Drosophila melanogaster: one gene and its partner. The protein of the gene in region 1 interacts with the protein of each later gene in a pairwise test. Each region holds a gene or a part of one and is shown on either strand. Other genes may lie near its edges. The genes, in order: CG17637 and TrpRS-m.

Region 1 (10,696 bases):
TCTGGAATCGGAAAAGCAAGTGTTTGGCACGCGGTGATCGTTACGTTTATGCACTACTTCTCCTGGGGTCTTCTCACCGTTCCCTTCATCGAAAAATTGTCGGGATCGTTTGGGAATCGCGTCCTTCTCGTCGATGGACTGGTTTATGGAGTTAGAGGAATCCTGGGATTTGTGACCACGCCCGTGATGGGTGCCATTTCCGATTTTCATGGCCGGAAAGTAGTGATGCTACTGGCAGTGGCAACCACCTACGCTCCAATTCCATTCATGATGTTGAAGAGTTGGTGGTTTTTCGCCATTCTCACTGTGAGCTCCATCTGTGGCAGCACTTACTCCTCTTCATTGGCCTATGTGGCAGACACAACTACTGTGGAGAATCGTTCAAAAGGCTATGGCATTGTTGCGGCCAGTTTTGGCGCAGGAATAGCCTTTTCACCATCGTTGGGGAATTACTTGATGAAATCGTACGGGTCCGCATCAGTTATTTTGATTGCCGCCATCACAGGCTTGATTAATATAATGTTTATCATATTTGCGGTGCCAGAGAGTTTAGTTTTAAAAGAAAAAAATAATATGTTGGATGAAGAGAGTGATAACAAGATGGAGGACATTAACCCGAAGGAAAGGAAAGAGATCTTAAACAGAGAAGAAAAATTGAATAACCACGTTTCAGCGAACAAATCCAACCACGGCACATCACAAAATCTAGTCACAAATAAAGAGCTGGGCCAACAGTTCAACAAAGAGGAAAACCTTCAGAATGATTTAACTGAAAAGGAGAAAATTGATAATGGATCCCTAAACTCTTCCGATCTTTGGGAAGTGCTGCGTAAAAGTCGTAAGGATAAGAACCTGCTCGTGATATACCTCATAACATTCCTCTCGATTTGGCCCTTTGCAGGAGTGGATTCTACTGCGCCCGTTTATCTCAAAACTAATATGGGATTTGAGTACGAGGAGGTGTCCATGATGTTGGGATTACTATCTGTGCTGGCGATCACATCCAATCTCCTTCTCGGTTATATTATAAACATAGTGGGGGCCAAGTGGTCGATCCGACTGGGATTATTACTCCTGCTATTGCAGTTGTTCTTCTTCGGCTTTGGAACCCATCATTGGATGTACTGGTTAAGCAGTATCTTGGCCGCACTGGCAACAATTATACCCGCTGCCAATAATGCGGTGGCTTCCATCTACGCCAGTCCCGATAATCGGGGTGCTGTCCTGGGCATTATCTCTGGAATTGAGTGCTTGAGCGAGGGTGTGGGACCTGCCTTTTTCGGAGTACTCTTCTTCATTTTCCAGGATGATTCGAAGAATAAAGTTAATTCACCAATTTCAATGCCCTTCGTCATAAGTGCCATTGGTGTATTTGTAGCCATCGTCTTGACAGGTTTTATTAAAAAGGAGACTGTCGAAAAGGCACCATTGATCTATAAGATCATAGACGACGCTAGCGAGGATGAGGTAGAACCACTAGCGAAAACAACATTTAAATATGAAAAGAATAATGGTTATGTAAAACTAGAGATAGATGACAACTATGATTCGGATTGTAAAGAACATAGCTTTAAATAATTGTTATTTAATTAAACGTTATATAAATTTTCATAAAATGTTCACTTGTTTTAAGTATTCAACAAGAGGGAATGCTATAGTCGAGTTCCCCGACTATCAGATACCTATTACTCATCTAGTCGGAATACGATCGCGAAGTTTCATCATTTTTCTGGGATATCGATAGATATTAGGTAATAAAATAAAAAACAATTTAAAAATTTAAAAGTGTGGATCGTTTTGGGCGTTTTGTACGTGAAATGAGGGGCGTGGCCACAGTGTTGTTGGTATACCAATAAAAATTCGCAAGACACAATAAAACGAAGAAAAATCTAAACTTGTTTCAAAAGTGTGGGCGTGGCAGTTTTGGTCGGTTTTATGGCGTTAGAGGGGGCGTGGCAAAAAGTTTTTTTGCAAATCGATAGCAATTTACAAGACTATCAAAAATATGAAAAATATCAAAATATTTTTCAAAGGTGTGGGCGTGACAGTTTTGTGCTGTTTGTGAACGTTAAAGTGGGCGTGGCGCAAACAAAATTACGCTGCGTTTTTGTCTCTAGAATCTGTATGCTGAATTTCAACCTTATAAGTTTTATAGTTCCTGATATCTCGACGTTCATACCGACAGACGGGCGGACGGACATCGCTAGATCGACTCTGCGCTATTGCCATCCTTCTCTGTCCACCTTCTGCCTTTACAGTCTTTTTCTACAAATCTAGTATACTCTTTTACTCTACCAGTAACGGGTATATATTACATTTTAATATAATAAGTCTTAAAAGATGAGTTCAGCTTAATTAATCATAATTAATTAATCAATCTTTTGGGTTCAATACATTTATACATTTATTAGTAATTCTATACATCTCTAATCTTATACATTTTTAGTAATCTTTTCGTTTTTTGAAAATTACAAATTATTTTTTGTTTTCATTTGAAAACGCCGAAAAATGAACAAGTTATACATCTCCCAAGGCATATAGATTTTCCAAATTCCGATCCTAAAAAGTATATATATTCTTGATCAGGATCACTGATTGATTTGATCAGCCAATGTCCACAGGCAGACGGACGTCCATATGAACGTCGAAATCTAAGGAACTACAAAAGGATATTAAAAAACATAGACGCAGCAGAGACTTCCCACACCCACAGTTTTGAAAAATGATTTAATTTCTAAAATTTTTTTGGTTTTGCCAATTACTAGCGATATGACAAAAAAAATGTTGAAATTTCTTGATTGTACTTCTACTAGCTGAGTAAAGGCTATCTGATAGTATTGGAATTCGACTTAGGCGTTCTTTTCTATCTTTTTGAAATTGGACGTGGCAAAGCAAAAATAAAAGGTGGGGATATATAAAGGGGGTCAAACGATACAAAAATTTTAATTTGATTTTCTTGACACGGCTTCCTTAAACTCACAAGTGGCTCGCATAAATTTGAACATCAGATCTTCACATCAATCGATATTTACTTTTAAAAGGGGCCCTCGGCCCGGGTTTTTACATTTTCCAGTTCGATTTTAACCTTATTTTCTCACAAATGTTTTAGGAACTTTTTATGCAATCCCCTTCGTTTTTGCTCCACCTTTCGATTGTTTTGCCACACGTTAAGATCGAAAAAACCACAGCACACGTTCCTGGTGAACTGATTGGTCATGGGTGTCAAGGGAATACTCTCGTATTTCGCTTAATCATTTTGGCCGGGATCACTAGCCGAGTCAATCTGGCCATGTCCGTCGGTCTGTCCGTATGAACACTGGGTTCTCGGCACCTATAAAAACTAGAATGTTACTATTAGGCATGGTTATTTTAAAGAGGTAGACGCATCGCAAGATTGTTACACCCAATCTTGCTACCAGAAATCGCCAAAAAATATCACGCAAACGCTTTTTTTTTTTTTTGAAATTTGTCAAACGCACTTACTCTAGCTGAGTAAAGGGTATCTGATAGTCGGACAACTTGACTCTAGCTGCCAAACTCATTTGGGCCAAGCCCAATCCGAAAACCGTCCAAACTGTCGCGCTTGCACTGTTGAAATCCCTTTCGTTGTCGTTTTTAATTATACTGGTTTACTTGCAATATTCTATGTGACTCCCACCATCTGCTTAAAGGGTATCTGATAGAGTTTCCCTTTGTGTTGTTATATTTTTTGTACCAACAATATTCTCATATAAATTAATGAAGCTGCAGATATTTCAGAAAATTCATTTTATATTCATATAAATTCATATTTATTCAAAGTCATATGGCAATTCTCGAATCATATTTTAAGGCACGAAACTGTGTTAAATAATTGTTTATGGTTTACTTTTAAAAAGTTCGGAATGTTTGATTTTATATTCGTGAAAAACTGTGAATATATGTATATGGCACTACTTGTTGGTTTCAAATAATAGTTTATACGCTAGTTGTAAACGGGAACCTTTTCTTTTAATTGCCAGTATCAAGAGAGAATGATAATAATATATGAATATTAATATATTCGAAATATGTGTACCTCTCTTTCAAATAAACTCAATAAAACATCTTAAGAAACGATATATTTTTTAAACGACAAAATAGTGTAGTATAGTTCGAGTATCATGTTTTTTCCAGTGCAGCCATAACTATATTTTCTATAAAACTGAGGCGTATAAATTGGATTTAAACTGGAGTTGTCAGGCTATTCTGGCGTTGGCCAGTTCGCGGACAGAACACTAAAAAATGGCGCAGTTGAAGTTTCTTAGACCCCTGGTGAAAGTATTGGTTAATCGTTCTGGAATCGGAAAAGCAAGTGTTTGGCACGCGGTGATCGTTACGTTTATGCACTACTTCTCCTGGGGTCTTCTCACCGTTCCCTTCATCGAAAAATTGTCGGGATCGTTTGGGAATCGCGTCCTTCTCGTCGATGGACTGGTTTATGGAGTTAGAGGAATCCTGGGATTTGTGACCACGCCCGTGATGGGTGCCATTTCCGATTTTCATGGCCGGAAAGTAGTGATGCTACTGGCAGTGGCAACCACCTACGCTCCAATTCCATTCATGATGTTGAAGAGTTGGTGGTTTTTCGCCATTCTCACTGTGAGCTCCATCTGTGGCAGCACTTACTCCTCTTCATTAGCCTATGTGGCAGACACAACTACTGTCGAGAATCGTTCAAAAGGATATGGCTTTGTGGCGGCCAGTTTTGGGGCAGGAATAGCCTTTTCTCCATCGTTGGGGAATTACTTGATGAAATCGTACGGGTCCGCATCAGTTATTCTGATAGCCACCATCACTGGGATGATCAATATCTTGTTTATCATATTTGCGGTGCCAGAGAGTTTAGTTTTGAAGGAGAAAAAGGTTATTTTGAATGAAAATAATGATAACAAGGTGGAGGACACGAAAGTGGATGACATAAGCCCAAAGGAAAAGAAAGAGAACTTAAATGGAGAAGGAAAGGTGAATGTTGAAGTGAACAAACCCACCTCACAGAATATAGTCACAAATAAAGAGCTGGACCAACAGTTCAGCAAAGAGGAAAACCTTCAGAATGATTTAACTGAAAAGGAGAAAATTGATAATGGATCCCTAAACTCTTCCGATCTTTGGGAAGTGCTGCGTAAAAGTCGTAAGGATAAGAACCTGCTCGTGATATACCTCATAACATTCCTCTCGATTTGGCCCTTTGCAGGAGTGGATTCTACTGCGCCCGTTTATCTCAAAACTAATATGGGATTTGAGTACGAGGAGGTGTCCATGATGTTGGGATTACTATCTGTGCTGGCGATCACATCCAATATACTACTCGGTTATATTATGAATATAGTAGGGGCCAAGTGGTCGATCCGTCTGGGACTTTTACTATTGTTCTTGCAAATGCTTTTCTTCGGCTTTGGAACCCATCATTGGATGTACTGGTTAAGCAGTATCTTGGCCGCACTGGCAACAATTATACCCGCTGCCAATAATGCGGTGGCTTCCATCTACGCCAGTCCCGATAATCGGGGTGCTGTCCTGGGCATTATCTCTGGAATTGAGTGCTTGAGCGAGGGTGTGGGACCTGCCTTTTTCGGATTACTCTTCTTCATTTTTCAGGATGATTCGGAGACTGATCTTAAGGTCAATTCTCCAATTTCAATGCCCTTCGTCATAAGTGCCATCAGTGTTTTTGTGGCCATCGTCTTGAGCAGTTTCATTAAGAAGGATACTCTTGGAAATGAAGAAACTAGAGTCGCCAACGAAAACATTCCTTAAAGGCGAAAAATAAGGATATTTATAAGTAGATATTAATGACTGCTACTTTGGTTTGGATTTAAAGAATGTAGACTTACGTATCTGTAATTTAAATAATTTTTAACTTAATTAAAAGTCTTCAACTCGAAACTTTTGGATTTGCGACAAATATCGACTGTTTAAACGTGTAGAAAACTTCAAGTTCTTATACCATTTTCGGACTCACCTAACTAACTAATCACCAAAAGGTATTAGCTACGCTGAAAGACCATACAAATTGTTATTTCAGTTCAGTTGAATTTCCAAACTCGAAAGTTTAGTATTCTCCATGTTGAACTCCCATTATATACATATGTCCAAGTTCGGTCTGAAAAAGTTACTCGTATCGTTGGCCTCTACTTCGGGAATTGGAAAGCCAAGTGTTGGGCACATACTAGTAGTTGTTTTTCTGGAATACTTCGCATGGGGCCTGCTAACAATGCCCATGATAGCCACTCTAAAGGAGACCTTCCCAGACCACACGTTCCTAATGAACGGATTGGTCATGGGAGTCAAGGGAATACTCTCGTTTCTGTCGTCGCCCCTGATCGGAGCTTTATCGGATATATATGGGCGGAAAGTGCTGCTCCTTATAACAGTGATCTTCACTTCCTTACCGATCCCCATGATGACCATGGATAACTGGTGGTTCTTTGTGATAAGTTCGATCAGTGGAGTATTGGGTGTTAGCTTCTCAGTGGCTTTCGCCTATGTGGCGGATGTTACCACAAAGGAAGAGCGCTCTAGATCCTATGAACTTGTATCGGCCACCTTTGCTGCCAGCTTGGTGATCGCCCCAGCAATGGGTAATCTCATAATGGATCGTTACGGAATTAATACTGTGGTGTTAGTAGCAACTTTGGTCTCCACAACGAACGTGATGTTTGTACTGCTGGCTGTGCCCGAAACATTACAACAAAACGTTAGATCCACTGGATTGAGCTGGAAACAAGCGGATCCTTTTCTATCCCTGCGAAGAGTGGGCTCGGATCCTAATGTTCTGCTACTGTGCGTAGTGATGTTCACGTTTCTACTTCCCGAAGCTGGGGAATATTCCAGTGTGCCAGCCTATCTGAAACTAACAATGGGGTTTGATTTCACGGAACTCTCCACGCTGGTGGCGTTCATGGCCATATTAGGCATTTCGATAAACGTGACCTTGGGATCAATAGTGAAGACATTGGGTGCCAAGAATGCTATAATACTTGGATTGCTCCTGGAACTGTTGCAACTCATACTCTTCGCCATAGGATACGAAAAGTGGCAAATGTGGCTAGCCGGAAATGTAGCTGCCCTGAGTTCCATCACCTTTCCGGCCGTGAGTGCCTACGTATCCCTCTACACGGATGTTGAAACTCAAGGAGCAGTTCAGGGAATGATCACGGGAATGTCGGGATTGTGTAGTGGACTTGGACCCGCTCTGTTCGGTATCGTATTCTACCTATCCGACATGGATTTGGATAAAAATCGAATTTTGATAGGCAGTGTAAGTGGAGATCGCACTGTGACCAATCCCTTTATGATTGGAGCTATCTCTGTGTTTATCGGCATTCTGTTGGCGTCATATATCCCAGATGAAAAGGTTTCCAGGGGAAGGAGAGAGGAATTTTCCGCACTGAAGTATATTATTGAAATGGAGGAGGCGACAACAATATAGTTTTACAAATCTTTATTTAGATAGCTTGTTTAGTTCACTATATGGGTTTACACGAGGTCAGAAGCAATAGTATTTAAAAATAAGAAACATTTTCAGTAGAAAATCAAAATATAAACTTAATTAAGCGTTAACTAAAAAGGGTGCGAAAGGTCATTTTTAATTGCATTTAATTGCTTGCATTTTGTTTGCGTTTCGCGATAATGAAAATTGTGCTTTAGTGGGTTAAGATTTAGACGCTATGTCGGTCGTTGTCTTCATTTAATCAGCCACTTTAGCACTGCCTCTCAGTCGACGACCGCGTCTGTTTATTTTGGTTTTTGTTTTCCAATTTCCTTGGCATTTCCCTGCTATTTATTTATAAATTTTCATTTTGCTCTTCTTATTTGTTTAGAAGCTGAAAATTAACAACAGTTTGTTGACTCTTACGCAACAGTCTGGCCTTTTGTTTGTTGTGCCCGTCAGCATGGTGCAATCGGTAGCAAAAGAAATTGACAATAGATAATTTATTAACAACAATTGCAGAAACCCATAAATAGACCAAGCTGTCCTATGTATGTATGTATGTATATTTCCCCATCTCTTCGCAAACGAGCGTTCCTGTTTGGCAGATGTATTCCCTTATTTTTTTTATTTTTTGGTTTTGTTCAAACACAGGCAAAGCCGAAAACTTTCCATTTGAAAAAGCGAGTATCCCATTAAATTTGTACGTATGTACGTATGCCTATGTATGTAAAGAGCCATAAAGTTGAGAAAATAGTGTGATTATACTGAAACACGTGCATGCAAAACCGATTCTCTTACTCTCTTAGGGACATGAAAATATGGGGAGAACATGAGAAGTGAGAGTCTCACTGGCGTCGACTGGGTAAATATTATTTAAGTGTGATGCAGGGGCGGATTCAATTGGATTGGGGTGCTGAACTGGGTGTGTCCAAAGGTAAAATTTTGTAATATAACAGATACTATGTAACTCGTTGGGTAATTATTTCAATTATCTCGTTGGACATCAATCTAGATTTTAATTTGATTAACTCTTAAATTTACCCAATATATGAAATATACATAAGTGATATGATACGATATAAACAGGTTTTTTTGTATTTGAGATGAGAGAAAATGCCAAACCATTTAGCTCCCCTTCAGAATAACCCGCCCTGTAGCAAAAATTCAGTGACACATAACTTTTATCTCGCTATGTTGGTGTTGTATGCCTCCTTTTTAGGTTTTTTCAGCCGCGTCTGGGATTTCTGCCATTGGCCTTCAATTTCGATTCTTTGGCGAGCACTATCAACCAGTCACACAAACGTATGGAACATATGTTCACACGAATCCGGCAACCAGACGACTTGCATATGTACAAAAAAATGCGAAACTATTCCGTGATTCAAGAGAACCCTACTTTGTTGCTACACGGGGCGAAATATTGGGGTGCAAGCAACGGGTCGAAATCGATAAGCCTTGACTTGATAAGACGTCTGTGCCACCCAGCTAATACCCCTTCCATTTCACTACTCTGCTAAATGCGATGCGAATTTCTATGGGTTTTAATTAGCGTTGCGAATGCCTGATGACCAGGAAAACGGTCGGAATCGTTAGTTACACGAGTTACACGAGACTGACTAATCCTACAAATGCTACTGTGCGCAATCAACAATCCGCGTCCGGAACGCAGTAATATTATGTCACTAAAACTGGCATCGGGCGTCTCTTATCAATTATCTTGGAGCAAATCGAAAATTAAGCGCGTTACCAGGCGAAGAAATCGGTTACAGTTTTTCTCGCTGACCGATAACTCCTTGACCTTTTGCTACATACACATACAAATATAAATTTGTACATAGGCGACTTTGAGTATAAAATGGCCTCGGTTCTGATGGAAAGTTTATTTCCTCTTGCCACTGAACTTTGCCGATGTCGGCGAATTTATGCAAAAAAATATATTTGGGTCTGGCTTTGCTTTTTGCTTATGCTGAAAGAGAATCGACCAGTTGTGAGAGTGAGGTTGAGATACCCTTCTGAAAGACTATGAACAAATTTGAATACAATTAAGAAAATAGTAAATGCTGAAACATTTCGACTAATATACCAACAAATCAACTACACGTATTTTTAAAACTTACAAAAATCGAGTTTTCTTAAATGTATGTATTACCACAACTTCTTGATTTGTTTTTGATTTATTTATTTAAAAAGCGACATATGCGAACAGTTTACATCACATGTGAAATTTGTTTAGTGAATTTAAATTAAAAGATCGGGGTTCCTGCTTTTTAAACTTCCTATCTTTTCATTTTGATTTGTAAATTATGAACTGAAACTCAAAAGTAACTGAAAGTTAGGGTATCCATGGTGCGCTCTTTTGAAAACCGATTCCCTTGCGATGGAGTGATAGGCGAACACGTGAGAGAGCGGGAGAAGTATGGGGCAAAGCATAGAACGCGATTACGATTACTGGGGGCCCCTCTTTCTGCGCTTTGGTGCTTCTCTTTCTGCCGGCTTTTCGAGTCTCTTACGCAAAAAGGCCTTCATTTGGAAAGCCCACGTCGTGGAGATCGGATCGCATTAATTCTCCTGCTTAAAAGCCTGTAAATTCCAAAACATGTCCGTTTTTAACTAATATAAATAACGATTGCATATGCCTCTGCTTATTACAGGCACCGCCAGCAACGTCGAGCTAATGGAGGCCATGAAGAAATTGGACGCGGACCTGGTGGCCCTTTTCGCCACTGCTGCCTCCGCCGAACCTCTTAAGATTAGGAAACAGCAGGAGGTCCTGTGGCCGGGAGCCGAGCCGGAGCAAACCGCCCAGGAATCGGAGGATGATGAGCTGGTGATGACGCCGGAGCTCTTCCGCAGCTGCAACGCCTTGCAGCTGCACTTGGAGGCACTGACATTGCAGCCGGAGGGAACCCAACGCATGGAACTGGTTCAGAACGAAGTGCGACCCATTTTCACCGTGGAGTGCCAGCTGTCGGGGGACTTGATCCGTAAAGTGCCGCGCCAACCGATGTTCCACATCATGCAGTTCGAGTCGGAGAAGTTCCAGAGCCTGACGCAGTGCACCCGTTTCGGGCAGACGGCTCAGCGTCAGGTCGATATGGAAGATAAGAGCCTGCAGGATCCGGAACAGAGTGCTGGCCATGTAGACATCACGGTTTGGTGGCGCGAACCCGGCACCTGTCTCAACGAAATGCTCGGCATGGGCCGCCTGGAGCTCAGGGAGCTCTACAGGGCATCCCTGTT
Region 2 (12,130 bases), 2.7 Mb from region 1:
TCGATGAGGAGAAGCTATTCATGTTCCCCACAACGCCAGGTCCCATACTGGCACTAAGGCTGGACAGCCCGGGTCCTCCAGGTCCTCCTCCCAGCGATCCCAGACTAGTGGCTCCCATTACACCCGCTGCTCCGCCCAAGCTCGCTCCTCCGGGCAGCAAGCCCACGCCCGGTTCGGGGCTCTGGTTTTTCTTTTTACGCTTTTTCTCCTTTTTGCGCTTCTTGCGCTCCTTGTCGTCCTCATGGCGTTTCTGCTTCTTGTGCTTTTTCTCGTAAGTCTCCAGGCCGGCCGAGTCTGCAAGATGGTTATCATTGGATTATGTGTGATCGAGTTGCTCGATAATTCAGCAGATTGCTTACCGAGCAGCGTGGATTCCTGTCCCGTGGTCACCCCGTCTTTGTGTTTTTGCTTTTTGTGTTTGTTTTTGTGTTTACGCGCAGGTGTGACATATGTGGTACGATACTGTTCCGGCAGCTGAAAGGAGCACCAGAATCGGATAAATTAGCAATGTGAAAGTGCAGAGGAAAAAAATAATATATTTTATGCAATTTGTTCTAGTAACGATTTATCCATTGTTTGAAATATATGACATGTAAAAAATATTTCACGAAACCTTTTAAGATGAATTATTATTATTATTAGATTGCATATAGGGTGAAAGAAAACTCTCAATAATATTAAATGCCAATATTTCAATAACAAGAAAGGAAGGACAATCCGTCAACAAGGAAGGTTAGTTTTTTTTTTTTTTTTGAATATCATAATATTAAACCATATGGCAGCAATATGAATTAGTGGCCTAAACTGGCGCGTTCTGATTTATGCACTACTTGCAACAAAAATTTAAAACTGAAAGAAAACGGGCAGGCGGACATGGCCTTATCGACTCAGCTGTTCATATAGATCACTGCGTTGCGAACTACTGACTTAATATACACTGTTCAAAAGAGGTTTAAAGGGAAAACCAACATTTACACTCTTGTTAATTTAAGTAATTTTTGTGATTAATGACTAAAATATTTGTGTTTCAAATTTGTTGTTGAACATAAGGAAAATGAATTACAACTCTAAAATACTACGGTGATTATAGAAATAAGTGACAGAAAAGGTGCGACCAAATAACACTTTATAGTAGATCAGTCTGTGCAAGGACACTTAAATCCAAATTTCATATGCAAATTTTAAAAAGCGAAATTAATGCATGCAAATGTATAGAGACGCAAAGCATTGAATAGCGTCTAAATGTATTCTAAGATGTTCAATGTGCCGTATCTAAAGATTCGTCATTTTTCAAACTGAGCAAGCGAATTAAAAGCATATTGGAAAAACCAACCGGTCCGGGATGCAAGCGGAATCCGGCCAGCTGCACGGGAGTCAGCGGAAGAAGCTCCTTTCCACCAATGGGCGGCTTTTCGATCACGCTCCGCAGCGTGCTATTCTCCACGGGATGCGTGATGAGGTCGTTAATGCCGGGGATGTTCTGCAGAAACGAGGCCAGCGACTCCTTGAACTTCTTCTCCTTGAACTTGGTGAGTGTGTGGTGCAGTCCGTACTCGGTCATGAGATCCTTGTCGCCGGTAAGTTCTGCCTTGGCGGGTGGTTCCTTCATGGAGTAAAATGGCCCCGTGTGAATGATCGTTGGCGTCTTGCCCAGCGAAATGGTCGTTTTCAGGGTGCCGGATGAGTCTTGACGGGCCACCACGGGTGATCGGCCGCCGCCGTGGGGCGATGACTTCGGTGAGTCCATCATGTTGCCGTAGTTGCTCATCATCTTGGAAACTCAGCGATTCTCTTCACTCTTGGCAACCCACGCACACAATCGCACCGCACCGCACACGCTCACGCACACAGGGGCACAGCAACAAGGCAAGGCCAGCAGAAGGTGTCGCCTGTCGCGGCTCTCGGGCAACGCTGGCCAAGCTCACACTCTGCAAAATGCGCCGCGTCTGCCCGGCACTTCGGCTGACTCTTTTCTGGTCGAAAACTGAACTAATTATTTGCTCTTGTGGCGTTTTCTAACAGATTTCGGGGGCAAGTCTCGCCATCTTGTTGTGTCCGCGAACCAGTGTGACCGCATTGCGACAGCTAGCGAAATACTGAGGCTTCAACGAAAACGCGAGATGAACGCGACGTGAAAATACCAAAAGTGTTGTGGGAAATATCCCAGATGGGGAATACCACACAGGGTTGTACTGTAGGGCAAACTATCGAATATTCATCGTATAATACATTTTTAATTACCTATAGATATAATAAAGTTAATATTACTTTGGAACTCTTATTATATATGTATCGTATGTACGTTGAGTTATATATTTTTAAAACAGTTATTTTACAGTTTATTTATTACAGTTTATTTTATACGTACAAAAACATTAATTAATGGGTGCCAAAACTATAAAAGCCGGCTTACACGTATAGTTGGCTTGTTTTTAGGTAGCTTTTGCTACAACAAATGACCCATAAAGTGAATATTGTATAAACTAGCAATTGAGTGACGGACATATCGTATTTTGAACGATCATCAAGCTAATATTTTTATACACATCTTTTTCATACGAAAATGTTTTAGAATTTCAAATTCCAACAGAGTGGAAAATCACCAAAACAATCGATAGCATCGCGGCCATCATATGACCACTATCGAATGCACATCGCCAGCCCTGCGACCGCTCCGAGCCCCACAACACGAAAAACAGTCGGAAAAACACACATCAAACTAGTGTTGTGTTTGTAGTTAAATAACGATTATCCTCATAACTCGCCCGCACCAGCCATGCAATTCACGCTCCGTCATGTTGTTTCGGCAGTAGCCAAGGTAAGGATCGGGCGACATAACCGATTCCCCAAACGCCATCGCCCCTCAAGTTATGCAATCTAACCTCACCGAGGGGGTCGAGAAATGGGCAGGAAAAGGCTGGAAAATGCACTTGGATCACCTGCAGTGCTCATATGATCCCGGTGGGTGATTCACTGGCGTTTGGGGATTTGTTTGGCCCCGTTTTCAAGGTCGCTAATTAGGCCAATTATCAGCTGATAGTCGGCCGAAGATTAGTGCGAAATGCGTGCGACTGGCGTGATAAATGATAAGGTGCCACAACATGTAGTAATCTGCCGTCTTTACAGACTCCTCTGCGCACCAATGCCGCCATTCTGGGTGCCCTCAACGCCCGCTGCTACTCCAGCACCCACGAGGCGGACATCGTGGTGATTGGCTCCGGACCCGGTGGCTATGTCGCCGCCATCAAGGCCGCCCAGATGGGCATGAAGACGGTCAGCGTGGAGAAGGAGGCAACTCTGGGCGGCACCTGCCTGAATGTTGGCTGCATTCCCTCAAAGGCGCTGCTGAACAACTCCCACTACTACCACATGGCCCACTCCGGTGATCTGGAGAAACGTGGTATTAGCTGCGGCAGCGTTAGCCTGGATCTGGAGAAGCTTATGGGTCAAAAGTCCAACGCCGTGAAGGCTTTGACCGGTGGCATTGCCATGCTTTTCAAGAAGAACAAGGTCACACAGCTGACGGGCTTCGGCACCATCGTCAATCCCAACGAGGTGGAGGTTAAGAAATCCGACGGCTCCACGGAGACTGTCAAGACCAAGAACATCCTCATCGCCACCGGCTCGGAGGTTACCCCCTTCCCTGGCATTGAAGTAAGTGCAAAACCTCTACAGCGCGCTTGATTACTAATGCATGCCATTCAAAAACCTTCACAGATCGACGAGGAAGTTATTGTGAGCAGCACTGGCGCCCTGAAGCTGGCCAAGGTGCCCAAGCATCTGGTTGTCATCGGCGCCGGTGTCATTGGCCTGGAGCTGGGTTCGGTATGGTCGCGTCTGGGCGCTGAGGTCACTGCCATTGAGTTCATGGATACGATCGGCGGCGTGGGCATCGATAACGAAGTCTCCAAGACGTTCCAAAAGGTGCTCACCAAGCAGGGTCTTAAGTTCAAGCTGGGCACCAAGGTGACGGCTGCCTCTCGCAGCGGCGACAACGTCACCGTGTCCGTGGAGAACGCCAAGTCTGGCGAGAAAGAGGAGATCCAGTGCGACGCCCTGCTGGTCAGTGTTGGACGTCGTCCCTACACCGAAGGTTTGGGTCTGGAGGCCGTGGGCATTGTTAAGGATGACCGCGGCAGGATCCCCGTCAACGCCACTTTCCAAACTGTGGTGCCCAATATTTACGCCATCGGCGACTGCATCCACGGACCCATGTTGGCGCACAAGGCTGAAGATGAGGGCCTCATCACCATTGAGGGCATCAACGGCGGCCACGTGCACATCGACTACAACTGCGTGCCCAGTGTAGTCTACACGCATCCCGAGGTCGCGTGGGTTGGCAAGAGCGAGGAGCAACTGAAGCAGGAGGGTGTTGCCTACAAGGTGGGCAAGTTCCCCTTCCTGGCCAACTCTCGTGCCAAGACCAACAACGACACCGACGGTTTCGTCAAGGTTCTGGCCGACCAGGCCACCGATAAGATCCTGGGAACCCATATTATCGGACCTGGTGCCGGCGAGCTCATTAACGAGGCTGTGCTGGCCATGGAGTACGGAGCCGCTGCCGAGGACGTTGCCCGCGTTTGCCATGCGCATCCAGTAAGTGATTACCTAATCTGATTTGAACCTTTCGAACCTAATGCGCACAATTCCTTCTTTCAGACATGTTCCGAGGCCCTGCGTGAGGCCAATGTGGCAGCTGCCTTTGGCAAACCCATCAACTTCTAAGCACTTCCCAATCTCTGCCAGATAGTGAAGAATTTTGCACCGCGTTTGAAATCTTTGAATAACCCCTATTCGAAAAATTATCCTGACGGCCGAAACGACAGTCTCCGCATATTTGTAACTCTCAATGTAGGAACAGAAAAGTGGAAAATATAAATAATGGTAATGGCGCCAGGCGTTAATTGCAATGTAATATGTGTATTAAGCTAGAATAAATACAACACTGTTTGAAAACTCGAAACTGCAGTTCTGCAGATTAATTCTTTTTCAATGTCGTTAGATTTTCTGGTGTACCACTAATAAAGCTATAAGCATAAAAATAATAGGAGTCCTGTTAAAAAAAAAAAATTGTTCAATTGGTCTCTACAATTTATTTACCATCAAACAATTACATTAAATTTCAAGCCATACGTTCACAAGTAAGATGTAAATAGGTAATACCCTTAAATAGAGAGTTATAAAAAAAATGATAATAAATAACATTCTTTATTAAATTTGAATATTAATATTAATCCACGATTTAGCGGAAAACTCGCCAAGCTGAGTATCACTGTTCACAGCTGTCGTACCGGCTTTTCAAAAGCCATCTGGCAACGCTCGCGAACGCTCAGTGTCAAAATTTCGGCCGTTTCGAACAAATAATTTATTTTTGGGCTTTGTTCACACATTTAGCACCGCATTATTCCCAATATTTTTTACTCAAAAGTTTTGGGGTACAAAATTCATAGCTCATTGCAATGTTCCGATTTGGCAAGCTCCATCGCAGTCTGTCTAAGGTGGCCAAAAAGGGACAGACAGCTGTGTATTCCCAGCGCCGTTGCATTCAGGCGAGGAGTTTCTTGCCGGGATTGGCTAGTAGGACGGCTGGAACGCCCTCTGCGACGGCCCAGGTAACCGGTGGAAACAAGCAGCACGTACACCCCCATGGTAATTCCGTTAACAGTGGCCACGAAGAAGTAAGTGCATTCGTAGAAATAGTTTACATAACACAAGACTCTAATATATTACCCCAACCCAGCATAACACCCGCTGGCCGAGGAAAGTCTTTAGTGGCATCCAGCCGACGGGTTCCCTGCATCTGGGTAATTATCTCGGCGCCGTGCGCAAATGGGTGCAGCTGCAGAATGCTCGTGACGATGTCACCGTGTGTATTGTGGATTTGCACTCTATTACCATGCCCCACAATCCGCCGCTTCTGCGAGAGAACATCTTCACCATGGCCGCCACGTTGTTGGCATGTGGCATCGATCCCACCAAGAGCACCCTCTTTGTCCAGTCCGCCGTTGCCGAGCACGCCGAGTTCAATTGGATCCTTAGCTCCTTGACCACCATGCCGCGATTGGCTCAACTGCCGCAGTTCCGAGAGAAGTCCCGTCTTCTAAAGGATGTCCCTCTGGGATTGTACGTTTACCCGGTTCTCCAAGCAGCCGACATTATGCTTTACAAGTAAGTAAATATATTCCGTTTTTTGTTCAGAATGTAAGCCGGGAATGCAAGAGTCCTAGTTGCTTATCAGACTTAAATGCTTTGGTTCAGCTTTACATATTTTTAAACCACCCTTTAATATCTGAAATGGTTTGCCATTTGCTTACTTATTATAGTACTTATAATATTCATATTCGTTTTTCGATCAGGTCCACTCATGTTCCTGTGGGCGCTGACCAGATTCAGCACATTCAGCTGGCCCAGCACTTGGCCAGAATTTATAACGGTCGCTATGGCGAGACTTTCCCTGTTTGCACCGCCATCATTGAGGATGGTGATGCCTCCCGTGTGCTGTCCCTGCGAGATCCCTCCAAAAAGATGTCTAAATCGGAAGCGAATCCCAAGGCCACCATCAACTTGTGTGACTCGCCCGACTTGATTACGCAGAAGATAAAGAAAGCCGTCACAGACTTTACATCGGACATTACTTATAATCCTGGCAAGCGTGCTGGCGTCAGCAATCTGGTCAACATCCATGCCCAGGTCACGGGACAGAGCATTAAGACAGTGGTGAACGAGGCCGCCACTTTGGACACGGCAAAGTATAAGGACCGTGTGGCGGAGGCTGTGGTCGAGCACTTGCGTCCGATCCGAGAACAGATACACCATCACATGACTAAGCGCAACGAGATGATCTACTTGCTGGAAGTGGGTGCAGAAAAGGCACGTCAGCAGGCACGCCAAACGTTGAACGATGTTAAACAGCGCCTAGGACTAGGAACCAGTGCCAACATTCCGGCTGCGGTGCATGTGGCTCCACTTCTGCCCGCACCCGATATTTCCAAAACCTCAGCAAGCAGGCGAATGTCCAAGGACTTCGACGGGAATGTCCACGAGCGTCACGAACGGATGTACGGATTCGGAGATCAGCCAAGCGGAGGAGCTGGTCAGTCAGCCACCGGCGAGGTGGCGGATATGCCTCAGGCCGTTGTACCGCGGGTGATCCGTCGGGCGCCCATCGTTCCCACTCAGTCTATGCGCGTAGAGAAACAACTAGGTAGCACTCGAACTCGGCACGTATTCCAGATGGACACCTGCAATGCTCCGCATATAGGGTTCAAACCGCCGCCAGGATTTTCGGCCAGCATGGTCACCGGTGCTCTAGCCAAGAACAAGCGCGCTACAGTTAAACCCGTTACTGGCAACCTGGGCTTCGGCCAGCAATCGCAGGGTGGCTCTTACAAGCACAGCCAGAACGTGAATCCTAGTGCGGTATCCACCATTGCACGTGAAGTAAACGCTGCTAAGAAGCAGGAGTTTACCTGCAACCCCGCTTTGTACGGCTCTGCCTTAGAATCGCTTTCCAATTCAAGTCGCTCGAGCGAAAAGACTAACTCTACGGCAGGAGACAGTGAGTTCATAATTGTCGCGAGCGAGGAGGAAGAGCAGGCTGCTTCCTCTGAGGAGCAACGCGAAGAAGCTGAAGAGGAGGAGTCCGGGGAACGTGAAAGGGAGAAAGGCGAGCGCAACGCCACTGAAGCTACCAAAGTCGAGATTTAACTCTCGGAAACATTGCAATTGTTATAAGTGTAGTACAAGTATACTTAGGTAACATTACTGTTAAATCTGTCGTTTTTTTGAAAATCGCGAACAGCTTTTGCAGCAGAAGACGAAGTCAAGATAATATAGACGTATCAAAATCAAATGGCATATGTGGATACTGACACTACAATTATTGTTATATTTACTGTTATGTACTGAGAGTGCAGTAAGATTACATTTTGAACTTGTATGTTTAATCCCATGTGATTGCATTGACCGGCTGGATTTCATCGCTAAATTATAAGCAAATCTCGCACCCAAATAAATTTATACTGATTTAGCATAGGAATATTCGTGTTTATTGCTTTCAGCTAACTTATTGTACTCTCGTTTGTTTTTGGTATCCTATCTTACGGTATGAGGATAAGTGCATGTGTAAATTACATAGGTGAGTATGTGGATGATGAGAAGCGTGTCTAATCGCGCATTTCGCAGGCAAAAAAAGTAAATGTATAGTGTGGTTAATATCAATATATATTTAGGATGTACTGTGCATCAATATCAGGGGCACCTCGTTGCTGTACTTTGAGTTCTCCTGGCCGCCCAACAACGCCGAATTGCTGCAGTCCCGCATCATGGCAATGGAATTGTTGCGCTGTTCCCGCTGCCTCAGCCGGCTGTGACGGATGCCATAGGCCAGGAAGATTGCCAGGCCTATGGCGATCCATATACTGAAGCGAATCCATGTGAGAATGTCCAACTTGATCATCAGGTAAATGTTGATCAAAATGGAAATGCCGGGTAGCCAGGGAACCAAGGGCACCTTGAACGACAATTTCACCCCTGATGTTGGCTGACGCGAGATGACCAGGAGCAGTACTGCAAGGGGTATGGTGCCTAGCACCAGCTTAATACCATCGAAGGACGTCACGTTAGCCAGATCCTCCTCGAACTTGGTTAGAATCTGCGAGAAAACCATGCACCAAAGAGCTGAAACAAAATAAATGTTATTAGGGGTATATTAATAATACTAATTTTAAAACTAAAATTTGCACTCACAGAACAGCGTGACACTGTAGGTGACGATCCTTGAAGTCTGCTTTGTGGGTACTGTCTGACCATTTAGGTTGAATATACGCCTCCATAGAGCACACGGACGATCCTGCTCCAGACCCGTGGCACGTCCGTTTGCCACAATGCGGCTCTCCCGTCGATCGTCCACTTCGTAGCGCAGCATAAGGACACAACTGGCCACCATGGAATAGGCCAACAAAGTGCCAATGGACATCATGTTCACCAGTTGGCTAAGATTGAAAACTGCCGCCAGAATGCCAGTCAGCATACCTGTGATCATGGTTCCCTTGAAAGGGGTCTTGTACTTCTCGCTAATGTCTCCGAGAAATTTGAACAGCAGTCCATCGTTGGACATGGCAAACACGATCCTTGGCAGCGGGAACATGGCTCCCATCATGCTGGAGCACAGTCCAAACATCGCTCCAATACTGACAACATACTCGGCCACATGCCACCCATTTATCCGGAAGACATGGGGCAGCGGAGCCTTCTCATCCTGCTCAAAATAGGGCAGCATCATGGTCAGCACTGTGGACACTCCAAAGTAGGCTAGGAAGATCATGGCCAGCGAGACAATCACAGCAAATGGAATGGACTTCTTGGGGTTCTTGGCCTCCTCTCCAGCTGTGGCAATGCAGTCGAAGCCAATGAAGCCGTAAAAGCAAACTGCAGCTCCTTTTATTATGCCCGAAACTCCGTAGGGCATAAATCCACCATCGCCGTAGCCCTCGGGTACCTGAGATTTTGGAATGGACCAGTTGCTGCTGGAAACTGAAAAAAGGATTGTGTAAGTAAATAAATATGTAAAACAATTTCAAAACCCACCTTTAAAAAGACCCGCGATAATGACGAACAACACGACTCCAAGATTAAGCATAGTGAAAACATTGTTCACCCTGGTGGACTCCTTGGCTCCAACTGCAATGGCCAGGGAAAAAAGTATGGTCACCACGAAGGCAAACAGATCCGGATAGGCACCCATTCCCTCGATGTTGAGGGGCATGTGGGTGCCCAGGAAACTGCTCATCGGATTGCCGCAAAGCTGATCGAGATAGGTGCTTAAACCCTTGACGACACTGGCAGAGCCTAGGGAGAGCGAATATTGGGCAATTAAATCAAATCAATCAGACGTCGTCGTCTCCAATTGAAAACTTACCAATTGCGTATTCGAGAATGAGATTCCAGCCGATGAGGAAGGCGATAAACTCGCCAATGGTCACATAGCTGTAGATGTACGCCGATCCCGCCTTTGGAACCCGAGCTCCGAATTCCGCATAGCACAGCCCGGCGAAAATCGAGGCGATGGCAGCGATGAGGAAGCTTACGACCACGGCTGGACCGGCATATTGCTTGGACACTTCGCCAGCTAGGACGTAAACGCCTACACCCAACGTCGATCCGATTCCCAGGGCGGTAAGATCGAAGGCGGATAAGACCTTGGCCAATTTGGATTCATTTGAGTCCTCCAGGGGCTTTTTGCGTGTGAGCACGCGAAACGCATTCGTCACGCTCCAGCTGGGCATTCTGGAATATGTTCATTAAACAATTATTATAATGGGTAAGTGTGCAATTGGGGCTTAGGGCTTCTGCTGAGCCGTGCAATAATAACCCGCCGTATTTTCGATGTTTACAGAACCCACATATTAACACGTTCGCAATTTGTGGAAAGTGCCTGTGATGGTAGGTGGGCTAAGAAATTGTGCGGAGTTGGATTTATGGATCGGGCCATAAGAAAATTAGTGGGCGTCCGTTAATGTGCGAATGTAGACAACGGTTTTACAGCCGCCAAGTCGAGTCGAAGCTGATCTAAATTGGAGTCTTGTGATCATCGGGGATTATTACCAATGACTCACAGGGGATATCTCCACACAAAGTTATTCCAAGGTGCAGTGCCTCAGCTAAGACAACGCTCAAGAAACTAGGAATTTGTCAAACTGTTCAGATGCAAATTTGATAAGGTTTCAGAAATTTGAAAATGAAAATCCTTCAAGTTTTCTAAATCTATTTCCGTTAGCATAGGTGAAAATAATTAATATAAAAAATAAAGTTTATTAAAAAATGAGTTCTTTACTTTTATCACACAAAACTGTCACAAACAGAAAAAAACAAAAAACGGACAAGTAAGCAAAAACATTTATTTTTAGATCTCAATCTAAACTATTTTTCAAAACTAATAAACTCTTTTTCAATTCTCGATAAAAGATTAAAATGTGTTTGAAAATTTATATTTGTATTTATCGTTTTCTCACCTGTTTATTAGTGAACTAGTCAGATCCTTTAACACAAATTTACTTTTTTTTATTTTGTAATTTATCCCCTTTGAATCTATATTTCACAAAATATCACAAACTGCCAGCCATTCTATGTTTCCAAGGGTGGAGTCGAGTTTCAAATACTTGAGTGGGCAAATAACAATCGTATCTGTATCTGGTTGCCTCTTAATTGAGTTTGCGTATTCGAATTCGCAGTTTGGAATTGTATCGAGTTGCGTATAGCGCCGGGAAACGTTCCACTTATTTCTGAGCGTTTGTGAAGCACGCCAGTGCCATTAAATAGCGAATCGGTTCCACGGCTCCGGGGATCGTGGTGAGTTCCAGCCGGACAGAAGCTCTCGAATCCTCAGGTCAGACACAACTGTGGTGGAATCGCGCCTCTGACGCTGATAACGCTAATTGGTAACCCGTTACCCACCTCCATCTCCACCTGAATATGAAGTACGAGTATCGGATGACTTGTCAGGTCGATGGGCCAAGTTTACCACAAGCCCTAATGAATTGTCGCGTTCGATTAGCGGTTCGAATAGTGGAAACTGTTTGTCGTCATTAAATAAGTAGCAGGGTAGCTAAATTTTAGGATCAGTTCACTTTACATCTTTGACACGCACTGTCAATTAATAGTCCATCCATCTAACACATTAGAAAGTTGCTGATATCTTAAAGAACCTTCACAAGATAAGAAACGCGACTTGAGAACAAAGGTTTTTTTTTTAAATTTTCTATATATTCTTAGTATGACTTATTTTTTAAATGAAGTATTATTTCCCAGTACAAAGTAATAGAAATACTCAATTGCGTCCAGTTTAAATGGAATTTTTACGCGCCAAAACCAGCAGCTGAACTTTTCGTCCCTTTGTGAAAAGGATAAACACGCTCCACAGGGCATTTTTTAGTTGGGGTGTTGATACCTCCTGGATGGTTTTGCTTTCGTACGGCACTACTAATTTCGCTTTGTTTGAGCTTTTCATTCACATGGCCGCGTGGAGATGGAGATTTGGCCATTGTTTATACGCAACTCAGCTGATAGGGAATAGCCGATTCACGTCGTGTGGCCGAGAAGTGGGTGCTAAATCGTGGCTAAAATTAGCCAC

The links.
Region 2: the proteins of CG17637 (region 1) and TrpRS-m interact in a two-hybrid assay, tested with the Drosophila melanogaster proteins (one large-scale study listed by BioGRID).

Annotation. Positions count from the first base shown.
Region 1 is NT_037436.4:20,499,923-20,510,618, forward strand, and holds CG17637 (uncharacterized protein), read left to right. Parts: upstream 1-4,263; coding exon 4,264-5,778; downstream 5,779-10,696. Other genes in the region: CG18281 (uncharacterized protein), read left to right, coding at 1-1,578; CG5078 (uncharacterized protein), read left to right, coding at 6,110-7,453; CG32425 (uncharacterized protein), read left to right, coding at 10,131-10,696.
Region 2 is NT_037436.4:17,844,421-17,856,550, forward strand, and holds TrpRS-m (Tryptophanyl-tRNA synthetase, mitochondrial), read left to right. Parts: upstream 1-5,306; 5' UTR 5,307-5,459; coding exon 5,460-5,678; intron 5,679-5,740; coding exon 5,741-6,168; intron 6,169-6,356; coding exon 6,357-7,707; 3' UTR 7,708-8,033; downstream 8,034-12,130. Other genes in the region: MED19 (mediator complex subunit 19), read right to left, coding at 1-294, 360-474, 1,334-1,771; CG7430 (uncharacterized protein), read left to right, coding at 2,777-2,818, 3,127-3,654, 3,718-4,596, 4,660-4,725; CG5535 (uncharacterized protein), read right to left, coding at 8,228-8,679, 8,749-9,534, 9,589-9,849, 9,920-10,287.